2 linked regions of the Drosophila melanogaster genome follow. Each later gene encodes a partner of the first gene's protein in a complex. Each region holds a gene or a part of one and is shown in the gene's direction. Other genes may lie near its edges.

Region 1 (8,126 bases):
ATCGGATCCTTTTTCCAGCTGCTGATTGTGTCGGGCGTGCTGTACGGCTATTTGGTGGGCGCCTTCCTGCCCCTGCTCACCATCAATATCCTGTGCGCTATTCTGCCCGTAATCTTTGCTATCATACACTTCTTCATGCCGGAGTCACCCGTCTACCTGGCCATGAAGGGACGCAACGATGATGCCGCCAAGGCCTTGCAGTGGCTGCGCGGCAAGGATGCCGATATCGATGACGAGCTCAAGGAGATCCTGGAGGAGTCCCAGAAGCAGATTGATATGCCACAGGTTAGTTAACATTCCACTAATAATCAATCAATCAATCAAAATCGATCGATATTGAAGGCATAAAGAAACTTTATAAAGGGTTCGCAGGGCTTTAACAGATTTATTACTCTTTCCATTATCACACAATCGGAAGTGATACATACATATACTTACCCTGATAAAAGAAATGTTGTAAATTCAGATAGTATATAATATTTTGTTTTCATTCATTAAGATTTTCAATAACTTGAACCAAGATAGGGTTTGCATTAAACTTAAACGATTTCGTAGTTAAACTACATATGAACACAGGTACGTAATTTGTTTCCATTATTCCATTTAGTAATCAGTGTAGCAGATACTACTTATCATACCTAATAAATACATTGATTTTGGTGAAGATTAGAAAATAATACGTGGTCTTATTTTTATTGCAGGTCAACATTCTGTCCTCCCTTCGTCGACCCATCGTCCTGAAGGGTCTTGGAATCGCTGTGCTCCTGCAGGTCTTCCAGCAGTGGACGGGAATCAACGCCGTTCTCTTCTACTCCGCCTCCATTTTCGAGGATACGGGCTCTGACATAAGTGGCAGCGATGCCACGCTTATCATTGGAGTCACCCAAGTGACCAGCACGCTGGTTGCCGTGGCCATTATCGACAAGGCTGGCCGTCGCATCCTGCTCCTTATCTCTGGCGTTCTGATGGCCGTGTCCACTGCACTGATGGGCGTGTACTTTCAGCTAAAGGAGAACGATCCGGCTTCAATGGACAATTTCGGTTGGTTGCCGATCAGCAGTATCTGCATTTTCATAATCTTCTTCTCGATTGGATTCGGACCGGTGCCGTGGCTGGTGATGGCGGAACTCTTCTCGGAGGATGTGAAGAGTGTGGCAGGATCGATTGCCGGCACCAGCAACTGGCTGTCGGCCTTCGTGGTCACGCTGCTCTTCCCAATCCTCAAGAGCTCGATCGGGCCGGGTCCGACCTTTTGGATCTTTACCGCGATCGCGGTCATCGCCTTCTTCTACTCTCTGTTCTTCGTGCCGGAGACCAAGGGCAAGACAATAATCGAAATCCAGGACCTGCTGTCCGGAGGAAAGGGTGTCAAAAGTGATGACAAGAGCCAGACGTGATGATGTCGCGTAGTCTTAGTCGTAGCGATACTTTTTCATATTCTCCTTAAGCCAATAAGAAAATGTTATGTATAAGAAGTGAAGAGCATAATCAATAAAGTAGAATCACCATGTATATAAACTACCCGATTGAATTTTCGTTCATTTCCGTCAGTGTAGTTCTAATTAGACTCAATTAGTATAATTCTAATTAGTTTGACAAGATTTTAAGTCTTGGAAAAAAATGAGGAAATAAGAAACTTTACTCGTATGGAGGAGGGCTGCAAACGAAGGTCTAAATGATCTAAGGATAGTATGGGTCAAAAAGTGATGTGATATATTCTTAACAATTGGTATTGATTAAGAATTCAAATAATAAATAATTCACGAACTTACACTACCGAAAATGCTTATTATTTTGTTGCAGATTTCGATAAAAATGGAAACGTTTATTATTTCCGGAAGGTATATTATTGGCAGCGAGCATTTCAAAACAAATTTATTTATGTTGCGGTTTGTGGTAATAATTTAAGTTCAAAGAACCGCACTGCGTAGTGTGACCAGTCCGTTTTGAAACACAATTCTTAATACGTTTGACACAAGGCATCTTATAAGAGCCGCTGGCCACTCTGTCACCGGCTTCTTTGTTCTTTAATCGTAAATTATTTGACTTCAAATTGTAATATCAAAATATCCCGAAGACTCTGTAACCAAGAGCGAAGATATGGAAGATGTGGAAATCAAGGTAAAATGAATTGGCTTGCGCTCTCGCTTATTGCAAAATAATTAACAAAATCCTTTCCAGCCTCGCGGCTATCAACTTCGCCTGGTTGACCACCTAACGAAGAGCAATGGCATTGTCTACCTGCCCACAGGATCTGGGAAAACGTTCGTGGCCATCCTGGTCCTAAAGCGCTTCTCGCAGGACTTTGACAAGTTAGTAGCGAATGGATATACATATATATATTATTATATGTATTACCTATATCCGATACTTACATTTATATATATATTATTATATGTAATACCTATATCGGATTCCGATTTGTTTACACAGACCCATCGAAAGCGGCGGAAAGCGTGCGTTGTTCATGTGCAATACTGTGGAATTGGCCCGACAACAGGCGATGGCCGTCAGGCGGTGCACCAACTTTAAGGTTGGCTTTTATGTGGGTGAACAGGGAGTGGATGACTGGACGCGCGGAATGTGGAGTGATGAAATCAAAAAAAACCAAGTGAGTATAGGATGGCGGAGGCATTTTTTATATACGCATATGATCACGTACGGACTAAACACTACACTACCACTACACACTGCAATTGCGATCACCACTTGAGTCGAAAAATTTGGGATCAGCATTTTTATGGGCTCGTAAGGGGTCGTGTTTTGCTAAGCCATCACAAAATCATCATTTCGTCAATTGATGTATTTTATTTGTTTTTTTTTTTTTTTGTAGTATGTTTATTTGTTTATTTATTTATTTTATTTGTTTATTTAAAATTAACTTGAGTTTGTGGATTGTTCTGGATCATCGAGTAGTAGATTTGATGGTCATTTTTATTACATTGAATTCATGTTAGACTTTTCAGTGTAATTCGAGGAATATTTATAGTTAATAATAATACACTGCTTCCAGAATTAAACCTACATGTGTAATTTTTGGTTCTTAACAGGTTCTTGTTGGCACAGCCCAGGTCTTTTTGGACATGGTCACCCAGACGTACGTGGCTTTAAGCTCCCTGAGCGTTGTCATCATAGACGAGTGCCACCACGGCACTGGTCACCACCCATTTCGTGAGTTCATGCGATTGTTCACTATCGCTAATCAAACAAAATTGCCGCGCGTGGTGGGTCTCACCGGGGTGTTAATCAAGGGAAATGAAATTACGAACGTGGCCACGAAACTTAAAGAGCTAGAGATCACATATCGGGGAAACATCATTACCGTGTCCGACACCAAGGAGATGGAAAACGTGATGCTGTAAGAGCGGGTGGCATTTTAGCTACAGTTTCCCAACAAGTGCATATTCTTTTCAGGTACGCCACCAAGCCCACAGAGGTCATGGTGTCCTTTCCACATCAAGAGCAAGTGCTCACGGTTACAAGGTTAATAAGCGCAGAAATTGAAAAGTTCTATGTATCCTTAGACCTCATGAATATTGGCGTTCAACCGATCCGAAGGTCAAAGTCATTGCAATGCCTGCGGGATCCGTCGAAGAAGAGCTTTGTAAAGCAACTGTTCAACGATTTTCTGTACCAGATGAAAGAGTATGGCATCTACGCAGCTTCCATAGCCATAATCTCGTTAATTGTTGAGTTCGATATAAAGAGGCGCCAGGCCGAGACGCTAAGCGTGAAATTGATGCATAGGACGGCCTTGACCTTGTGCGAGAAAATCCGTCACTTGCTGGTGCAAAAACTGCAAGACATGACTTATGACGACGACGATGACAACGTAAACACTGAGGAAGTCATTATGAACTTCTCCACCCCGAAAGTGCAGCGATTCCTGATGAGTCTTAAGGTATCCTTCGCTGATAAAGATCCCAAAGATATCTGCTGTCTGGTCTTTGTTGAACGCCGCTACACCTGCAAGTGCATCTATGGCTTGCTGCTCAACTACATCCAGTCTACGCCTGAGCTGCGAAACGTGCTCACGCCCCAATTCATGGTGGGCCGCAACAATATTTCTCCAGACTTTGAGAGCGTCTTGGAGAGAAAATGGCAAAAATCTGTAGGTGTGGAAATTATCGTTAATTGCTGATATTTTTCAAAATATGCTCTTACCGTCTCGCAGGCCATTCAGCAGTTTCGGGACGGTAATGCCAATCTTATGATATGTTCAAGCGTCCTAGAAGAAGGCATCGATGTGCAGGCCTGCAATCATGTCTTTATTCTTGATCCTGTTAAAACCTTTAACATGTACGTGCAGTCAAAGGGTCGGGCTCGTACCACTGAGGCCAAATTCGTGCTGTTCACAGCTGATAAGGAAAGGGAAAAGACAATTCAGCAAATTTATCAGTATCGAAAAGCGCATAATGACATTGCCGAATATTTAAAGGATCGAGTTCTAGAAAAAACTGAGCCAGAATTGTACGAAATCAAAGGGCACTTCCAGGACGATATTGACCCTTTTACCAATGAGAACGGTGCCGTGTTGCTTCCCAACAATGCCCTGGCCATACTGCATCGCTATTGCCAGACAATTCCCACGGATGCTTTTGGCTTTGTGATCCCCTGGTTCCATGTATTGCAAGAAGACGAACGTGATAGAATATTTGGTGTTTCTGCCAAGGGCAAGCACGTAATTTCAATCAACATGCCAGTAAATTGCATGCTAAGAGACACAATTTACGTAAGCTAGAGATTCAGATTGAAAATGGCAAAATCAAATAGAGTTAATTGCTTTCATTTCTTTCAGAGCGATCCCATGGACAATGTTAAAACAGCCAAAATATCAGCTGCCTTCAAAGCGTGTAAAGTACTCTACAGTTTGGGAGAGTTAAACGAGAGATTCGTGCCCAAAACATTAAAGGAGCGCGTAGCCTCTATTGCTGATGTTCATTTTGAGCACTGGAATAAGTATGGCGATAGTGGTGGGTTCACAAGAACTCGCATAAGATATGTTTACTTATATTAATCTTTCAACCATAGTGACTGCGACAGTCAACAAGGCCGATAAGAGCAAGGACAGAACCTACAAGACCGAATGTCCATTAGAGTTTTACGACGCACTTCCGCGGGTAGGTGAAATCTGTTATGCCTACGAAATATTTTTGGAGCCGCAGTTTGAATCGTGTGAGTACACGGAACACATGTATTTAAATCTCCAAACACCAAGAAATTATGCTATATTGCTGCGGAACAAGCTGCCACGCCTTGCAGAGATGCCCCTGTTTAGCAATCAGGGTAAGCTACACGTTCGAGTGGCCAATGCACCACTTGAAGTAATTATCCAGAACTCCGAACAGCTGGAGCTGCTCCATCAGTTTCACGGAATGGTATTCCGCGATATCTTGAAGATTTGGCATCCGTTCTTTGTGCTGGATCGTCGCAGCAAGGAGAACTCCTACCTGGTAGTTCCTCTCATACTGGGTGCGGGTGAACAGAAATGCTTTGACTGGGAACTGATGACCAACTTCCGAAGACTACCGCAAAGTCATGGGTCAAATGTACAGCAACGCGAGCAACAACCTGCTCCACGTCCTGAAGATTTTGAGGGCAAAATTGTTACACAATGGTATGCCAACTATGATAAGCCCATGCTGGTCACAAAGGTGCACCGTGAGCTAACACCGTTAAGTTATATGGAAAAGAACCAACAGGACAAGACCTACTACGAGTTTACCATGTCAAAGTACGGCAACCGCATTGGTGATGTTGTTCACAAGGATAAGTTTATGATCGAGGTCAGAGACCTTACGGAACAGCTCACTTTCTACGTTCATAATCGTGGAAAGTTCAACGCGAAGAGCAAGGCTAAGATGAAAGTTATTTTGATTCCGGAGCTATGCTTCAATTTTAACTTTCCTGGGGATTTATGGCTTAAGTTGATCTTCCTACCCAGCATTTTAAACCGCATGTACTTCCTTCTCCACGCAGAGGCCTTACGTAAGCGATTTAATACGTATTTAAACCTCCATCTGCTGCCTTTTAATGGAACTGATTACATGCCCAGACCACTAGAAATTGATTATTCGCTAAAGCGGAATGTCGACCCCTTGGGCAATGTCATACCAACTGAGGATATCGAGGAGCCGAAATCCCTTTTAGAGCCAATGCCCACAAAGTCCATTGAGGCGTCCGTGGCCAATCTTGAAATAACAGAATTCGAAAATCCCTGGCAAAAGTATATGGAGCCGGTTGATCTGTCGCGAAATCTTTTGAGTACGTATCCCGTAGAGCTGGACTACTACTATCATTTTAGCGTTGGTAATGTATGTGAGATGAATGAGATGGATTTTGAAGATAAGGAATACTGGGCAAAAAATCAGTTCCATATGCCCACGGGTAATATCTATGGCAACAGAACTCCGGCCAAGACTAACGCAAACGTGCCAGCTTTGATGCCGTCGAAACCGACTGTCCGCGGGAAGGTAAAACCACTGCTCATTTTGCAAAAAACTGTTTCCAAAGAACATATAACGCCAGCGGAGCAGGGCGAGTTTTTGGCTGCAATCACTGCCTCGAGCGCAGCGGATGTTTTCGACATGGAACGCCTTGAGATTCTGGGCGATTCCTTCTTAAAACTTAGTGCCACGCTCTACTTGGCCAGCAAGTATTCGGATTGGAATGAGGGCACTCTTACAGAGGTCAAATCCAAGCTTGTGTCTAATCGTAACCTGTTGTTCTGCCTCATCGACGCGGACATTCCCAAAACGCTCAACACCATTCAGTTTACGCCTAGATACACATGGCTTCCACCTGGCATCAGTTTGCCCCACAATGTTCTAGCCTTGTGGCGAGAAAATCCGGAATTCGCAAAGATTATTGGCCCACACAATCTCCGTGACTTGGCTCTCGGCGATGAGGAGTCCCTGGTGAAGGGCAACTGCAGCGATATCAACTACAACCGCTTCGTGGAGGGATGTCGAGCAAATGGGCAGTCCTTTTATGCCGGTGCCGATTTTTCATCCGAGGTGAACTTCTGCGTGGGACTGGTCACGATTCCCAACAAGGTGATAGCCGATACCCTTGAGGCGCTATTGGGCGTAATCGTTAAGAACTACGGATTGCAGCATGCCTTCAAGATGCTAGAGTACTTCAAGATTTGCCGTGCGGATATTGACAAGCCGCTTACTCAGTTACTGAACCTCGAACTGGGCGGCAAGAAAATGCGGGCGAACGTGAATACTACAGAAATTGACGGCTTTCTCATAAATCACTATTATTTGGAAAAAAATCTTGGCTACACGTTTAAGGATCGACGATATTTGTTGCAGGCCCTCACCCATCCCTCGTATCCCACTAATCGCATCACTGGGTCCTATCAGGAGCTGGAATTTATTGGCGATGCCATACTCGACTTTCTAATCTCTGCCTATATTTTCGAGAACAATACGAAAATGAATCCGGGCGCCCTCACAGATCTGCGTTCCGCTTTGGTCAACAATACTACGCTGGCCTGCATTTGCGTGCGGCATCGGTTGCACTTTTTTATCCTAGCGGAGAACGCAAAGCTCTCCGAGATCATATCCAAATTCGTGAATTTCCAGGAGAGCCAGGGTCACCGGGTTACCAACTATGTGCGCATTCTGCTCGAGGAAGCTGATGTTCAGCCGACTCCGCTGGACTTGGATGACGAATTGGATATGACTGAGTTACCGCATGCAAATAAATGCATTTCTCAGGAAGCAGAGAAAGGAGTCCCACCAAAAGGTGAGTTCAACATGTCCACAAACGTGGATGTGCCAAAGGCGTTGGGGGATGTTCTGGAGGCCCTTATTGCAGCCGTATACCTGGACTGCCGAGATCTCCAACGTACTTGGGAGGTAATTTTCAATCTCTTCGAGCCGGAGCTTCAGGAGTTCACGCGCAAAGTGCCCATCAATCATATACGACAGCTCGTTGAGCACAAGCATGCGAAGCCCGTGTTTAGCTCGCCCATCGTCGAAGGGGAAACTGTAATGGTTAGTTGTCAATTTACCTGCATGGAAAAGACGATCAAGGTGTACGGATTTGGGAGCAATAAGGACCAGGCCAAGCTATCGGCTGCCAAGCACGCCCTTCAGCAGCTAAGCAAATGCGAC
Region 2 (4,316 bases), on another chromosome or scaffold:
GTATCACCTCAGATATCTTTTGGGAGTCATCTAATAGCTTGCCCGAGTAAATAAGTTTCTGGTCCTGGATTAACTACAGAAAAAATGGAAAGAAATAGTTATAGTGGTCAAAACATAAAACATAAAATTTCACATTATAGGTATTCAGAGGGAACCTAGAGATAACTCATTGTTGCTTTTACCTCCGCGCGAAATTTATACTATCAAACAGTGCCTAAATCTATTTATTTGCACACTCCAAGAGATAACAACTTGTACTTGTCAGTTGACTTTATGGAAATGATACTTGAAACTAAATAAATTTTTATAAATTCTACTTGATTTGCTCTGGAAATAAAGAGTGCTAATGTATTTTTTCTGCCTGCAATGATCTGAATCTTTAGTATATATCAGTGATATTGATATGTGGGATGTACATATGTACATAAAAAACTTGGCACATGAGTGGAGCGTGAATATGTCCAAAAATCTTATCACTTTCTAACCGTAACCAAATTAATCCCAGTTCCCAGTTCCGACCCATCGATTTGGCATAGACCAAGTGCATGACGCAAGTGCATGACGGCGACTATAATTTAGAGGAGCAATCCACTGACGTGTACTTGCGACTAAGACGCAAATAGCTTTGGGAACCGACACACCTATGAATCCTAAACGAAGATGATAAACAATAACAAACTTCTCGATAAGATAATGGGGCTCCTGGCCAGTTTTCTACCTATACGATAACAAGGGGGGGAACCAACTCGATAACCCACCGGTTTGCCAGGATAGATAAGAGATAGGTGCTTCTTCAGCCTCTGGACCGTCCAGCAGAGATCGGAGTCCACATTGAGATCCTCATACTGCTGGTTGGACGACTTGATGAGCAGCCGGACACTGGTTTCCGGATTCTTTTGACGGGTGGCGGCATCGCAGCCCGCGGCTGTTGCGGCTGCGGGTGGGGCGGCGTTCTCCTCCATCTGGCTGACCCCGCGAATCGGAGAACTTTCTATTGCTAATTAATGACCGCGATACGAAGATCGGTGATGGGTTTTTGCTGCGCTAGCGGGGACACTTTTTACGCAGCCACTGTTTCTCACTTCCTACTCCGCTCTGCTCTCTGCGTATTTTCGAGAAATAGTTTATTCTGAATTTGACATTTAATTTGGTATTATGCTATTGTTTGGTTTTCAACAGCTGTTCGTTCTGTGGTGTTTTGCTCGCAGCACAGAGTTATTGATTATGAAACGCAGTAAACGTTCCGCAGTTGATCAAAAACTACTCTTCATTTGGTTCTGACCTGTGGCAAGTGATGAGCGTCGGTCACAGGGCTGCCGCGAGTAGCAGGTATTTTTAAGTCGCAGGTTGCACAAACAGCTGAGAATTGATTTTCCAAAGTGTGTGGGATGTGGCAATTTAAGTACACAGTTGGAAAATATTAAAGTCGTTGCTCAAACACTTGGTTTTAGTGTTTTTAGAATTTATTCCTTTGAAAAATATACGGTATCTAGTTATTTGCAGTTGTGGATTTTGCTCATCACTGACAGCAACACTTGTTAATGCCATATACTACGCAACAGGGTTGCCTTGACTTACGGGGATGCCAACTCGCGTCATCGTGACGTGTCGATTATGTATAACACTTCAGACGTTGAACTTTGAATGAAAACACCGAATAGCATATAAAATGCATTTGCTCCTTAGTAAAAAAGTTAAGAAGGTTTGCCGCTGTTTTCGTATTCGAATTACGAATTCAATACTATTTCGTGAAAATATTTTTTTGACAAAGCGGCATAAAATAATTCATTTACAGATGTCTTCGTCAAGATTTCCTATTCTATCGTTGCCGCTTCGTGATTCGCGTGCCATCTCTAATAACATTGCAGTGCTTTAGATATTTTATAAATTATATATATGGTTATATTCTGTTGAATGTTAGCACGTCCGACGTGCCTTTTCCCCTTGAACTCATGGATAACAAGTCAGCCGTATCTGCTCTACAGGAGTTTTGTGCCCGGACACAGATTAATCTACCAACATACAGTTTTATTCCCGGCGAAGACGGAGGGTACGTCTGTAAAGTTGAACTATTGGAGATAGAGGCCCTTGGAAATGGTAAATTTAAATTACAAATCTCAACCACTATTTATATTCGTATCTAAACCGCCACATATTTATCCAATTCTAGGGCGTTCGAAGCGTGATGCCAAACACCTGGCTGCCAGCAATATCTTGCGTAAAATCCAACTGCTGCCCGGCATACACGGCTTGATGAAGGATTCGACTGTGGGTGATCTGGATGAGGAACTGACTAACCTCAACCGGGACATGGTGAAGGAGCTGCGTGACTACTGCGTCCGCCGCGAGATGCCACTGCCCTGCATTGAGGTAGTGCAGCAAAGCGGCACCCCGAGCGCCCCGGAATTCGTGGCCTGTTGCTCCGTGGCCTCCATAGTACGCTACGGAAAGTCGGACAAAAAGAAGGATGCCCGTCAGCGAGCGGCCATTGAAATGCTGGCCTTAATCTCCAGCAATTCGGACAATTTGCGTCCGGATCAAATGCAAGTAGCGAGCACAAGCAAATTGAAAGTTGTTGATATGGAAGAATCTATGGAGGAATTGGAGGCATTGCGCAGAAAGAAATTTACCACCTACTGGGAGTTGAAGGAAGCCGGGAGCGTAGACCATACAGGCATGCGGCTCTGCGACCGACACAACTACTTCAAGAACTTCTATCCTACCCTGAAAAAGGAGGCCATTGAGGCCATCAATTCAGATGAATACGAGAGCTCCAAGGATAAGGCTATGGACGTAATGAGCTCTTTAAAGATAACACCCAAAATCAGTGAAGTGGAATCTTCATCGTTGGTTCCCTTGCTTAGCGTCGAGCTTAATTGTGCATTCGACGTGGTCCTTATGGCAAAGGAGACCGATATCTACGACCATATAATAGACTATTTTCGCACCATGTTGATTTAATGCGTATAACATTTATTCAACTATTCTAGCTTAAAACTAAGTAAACTCGTTTTATTTACACTCTAGAATGCACATATTTCATTTAATCTTACGATTAATACAATCTCCACCAATTTGTAGGTGGGAAACATAAAAAAATTATTTTCAAGGTCTTTTAGTAAACATCTATGTTAACTTTGTACACGATTGAGATAGGTGTAAAAAATCCAAGGAAATAAGTAAGGGGAGTGGGTACAACAACTTTTACTTTCGAGAAGGTATAACATAATGATATTATTAATTACTTTTCGATGCCAATACCAATGTTAATTCTATTAAAATGTAAAGTATTTATACGGTCCGAACTTATTGTTTGCAACAACTGATTATAAAATATTTGAAGCAATTTACATAAATATGTATTGCACAGTGAAATTAAAAATCTGAACATTTGCCTTTAAAAGGAATGCTAGTAATCAAAGACTTACTTGAAACAAATATTTTAAATAATTTGACGGAAAAAAATGGTAAAAATGCTGCATTTCTTTTTTTTTTTACAAGTACAACTTTTATACGAATAAAAGGGGTTTCAGTCTAAAATAAATAAAGTGCTTCGTAGTCTTCAGCATTTTTGATTTTATTTTTACAACACAATGCTAAAATGAAAACTAAGCGTTCCTCTTAAAAACTTTCAACAATGTATTAACAATTTCAATGTCAATTGCTTGCCTTTTAATGGGTTATCTTATATTAGTACAATATGTTAAATAACAAATCCATAACAATTTGAAATGTTTTCCTAAAAAAAAATGTAAGTGTATAAATGAGATTGTTATTGCAAATAATTTCCTAATCAATCACCAAATTTGATTGCATTGGAATATCTAAAAAATCATTGCATTCGCCACATCAATCTCATCATCTCATCGGGAAACGTTCAATTTACTAGTCAAAATAATATTTACACAACTAAAGGAAACAATATATGATTAGTGTTCAATAGCTAATCTTCTTGCGCAGCTTGAGATTGGATTGTTGATGGTCCAGAGACTGTTGTTGTTGTTGTTGCTGTCGCTCCCGATCCCGATCCTTTTCGCTGGACGCACGACTCACACCGCGTACCAGGTGCTGTTGCCACTGGCTGGAGGAGGGCGGCGCCGTGGGTGTGGGAATACCCGAATTTGAGGCGGACGTCGATGCTGAGGAGCCGGACTCACCGAAAAGGCGCCGGGAAAGCTTGAAGCTGCCGCTGTTGCTGCTGCTGCAGCTGTTGTACTTGCAATTGTTGTTCATGCTGCTGGTGGTGGAGGCGTTTGTGGCGTGGGTGGCGTTGATCGATGTGCTGTTGGCTACAGCTGATGCTGCTGTGGCCGCTG

The links.
Region 2: the proteins of Dcr-2 (region 1) and r2d2 are in contact, whole or in part, in a cryo-EM structure (PDB 7V6B), measured with the Drosophila melanogaster proteins. Residues at the interface, in NP_523778.2 of Drosophila melanogaster: Lys244 (codon at 3,506), Ser248 (codon at 3,518), Leu251 (codon at 3,527), Met252 (codon at 3,530), Asn253 (codon at 3,533), Ile301 (codon at 3,677), Val305 (codon at 3,689), Arg311 (codon at 3,707), Leu321 (codon at 3,737), Arg324 (codon at 3,746), Thr325 (codon at 3,749), Thr328 (codon at 3,758), Glu331 (codon at 3,767), Lys332 (codon at 3,770), Arg334 (codon at 3,776), His335 (codon at 3,779), Leu336 (codon at 3,782), Val338 (codon at 3,788), Tyr1089 (codon at 6,228), Met1090 (codon at 6,231), Val1093 (codon at 6,240), Leu1100 (codon at 6,261), Ser1101 (codon at 6,264), Thr1102 (codon at 6,267), Tyr1103 (codon at 6,270), Pro1104 (codon at 6,273), Val1105 (codon at 6,276), Glu1106 (codon at 6,279), Leu1107 (codon at 6,282), Asp1108 (codon at 6,285); in NP_001162903.1 of Drosophila melanogaster: Met109, Pro110, Val117, Gln118, Gln119, Ser120, Glu127, Val129, Ala135, Ser136, Ile137, Val138, Arg139, Tyr140, Leu160, Asn164, Gly217, Met218, Arg219, Leu220, Cys221, Arg223, His224, Asn225, Lys228, Val270, Glu271, Ser272, Ser273, Leu278.

What each region holds. Positions count from the first base shown.
Region 1 is NT_033778.4:17,575,401-17,583,526, reverse strand, and holds the start of Dcr-2 (Dicer-2), read left to right. Parts: upstream 1-2,001; 5' UTR 2,002-2,100; coding exon 2,101-2,121; intron 2,122-2,181; coding exon 2,182-2,312; intron 2,313-2,433; coding exon 2,434-2,611; intron 2,612-3,050; coding exon 3,051-3,358; intron 3,359-3,414; coding exon 3,415-4,111; intron 4,112-4,174; coding exon 4,175-4,732; intron 4,733-4,798; coding exon 4,799-4,973; intron 4,974-5,031; coding exon 5,032-8,126. Other genes in the region: CG6484 (uncharacterized protein), read left to right, coding at 1-285, 702-1,397.
Region 2 is NT_033779.5:7,798,551-7,802,866, forward strand, and holds r2d2 (r2d2), read left to right. Parts: upstream 1-1,596; 5' UTR 1,597-1,702; exon of another isoform or gene 1,703-1,795; 5' UTR 1,796-1,952; coding exon 1,953-2,097; intron 2,098-2,170; coding exon 2,171-2,961; 3' UTR 2,962-3,548; downstream 3,549-4,316. Other genes in the region: Herp (Homocysteine-induced endoplasmic reticulum protein), read right to left, coding at 1-73, 759-962; Cdc14 (cell division cycle 14), read right to left, coding at 3,937-4,316.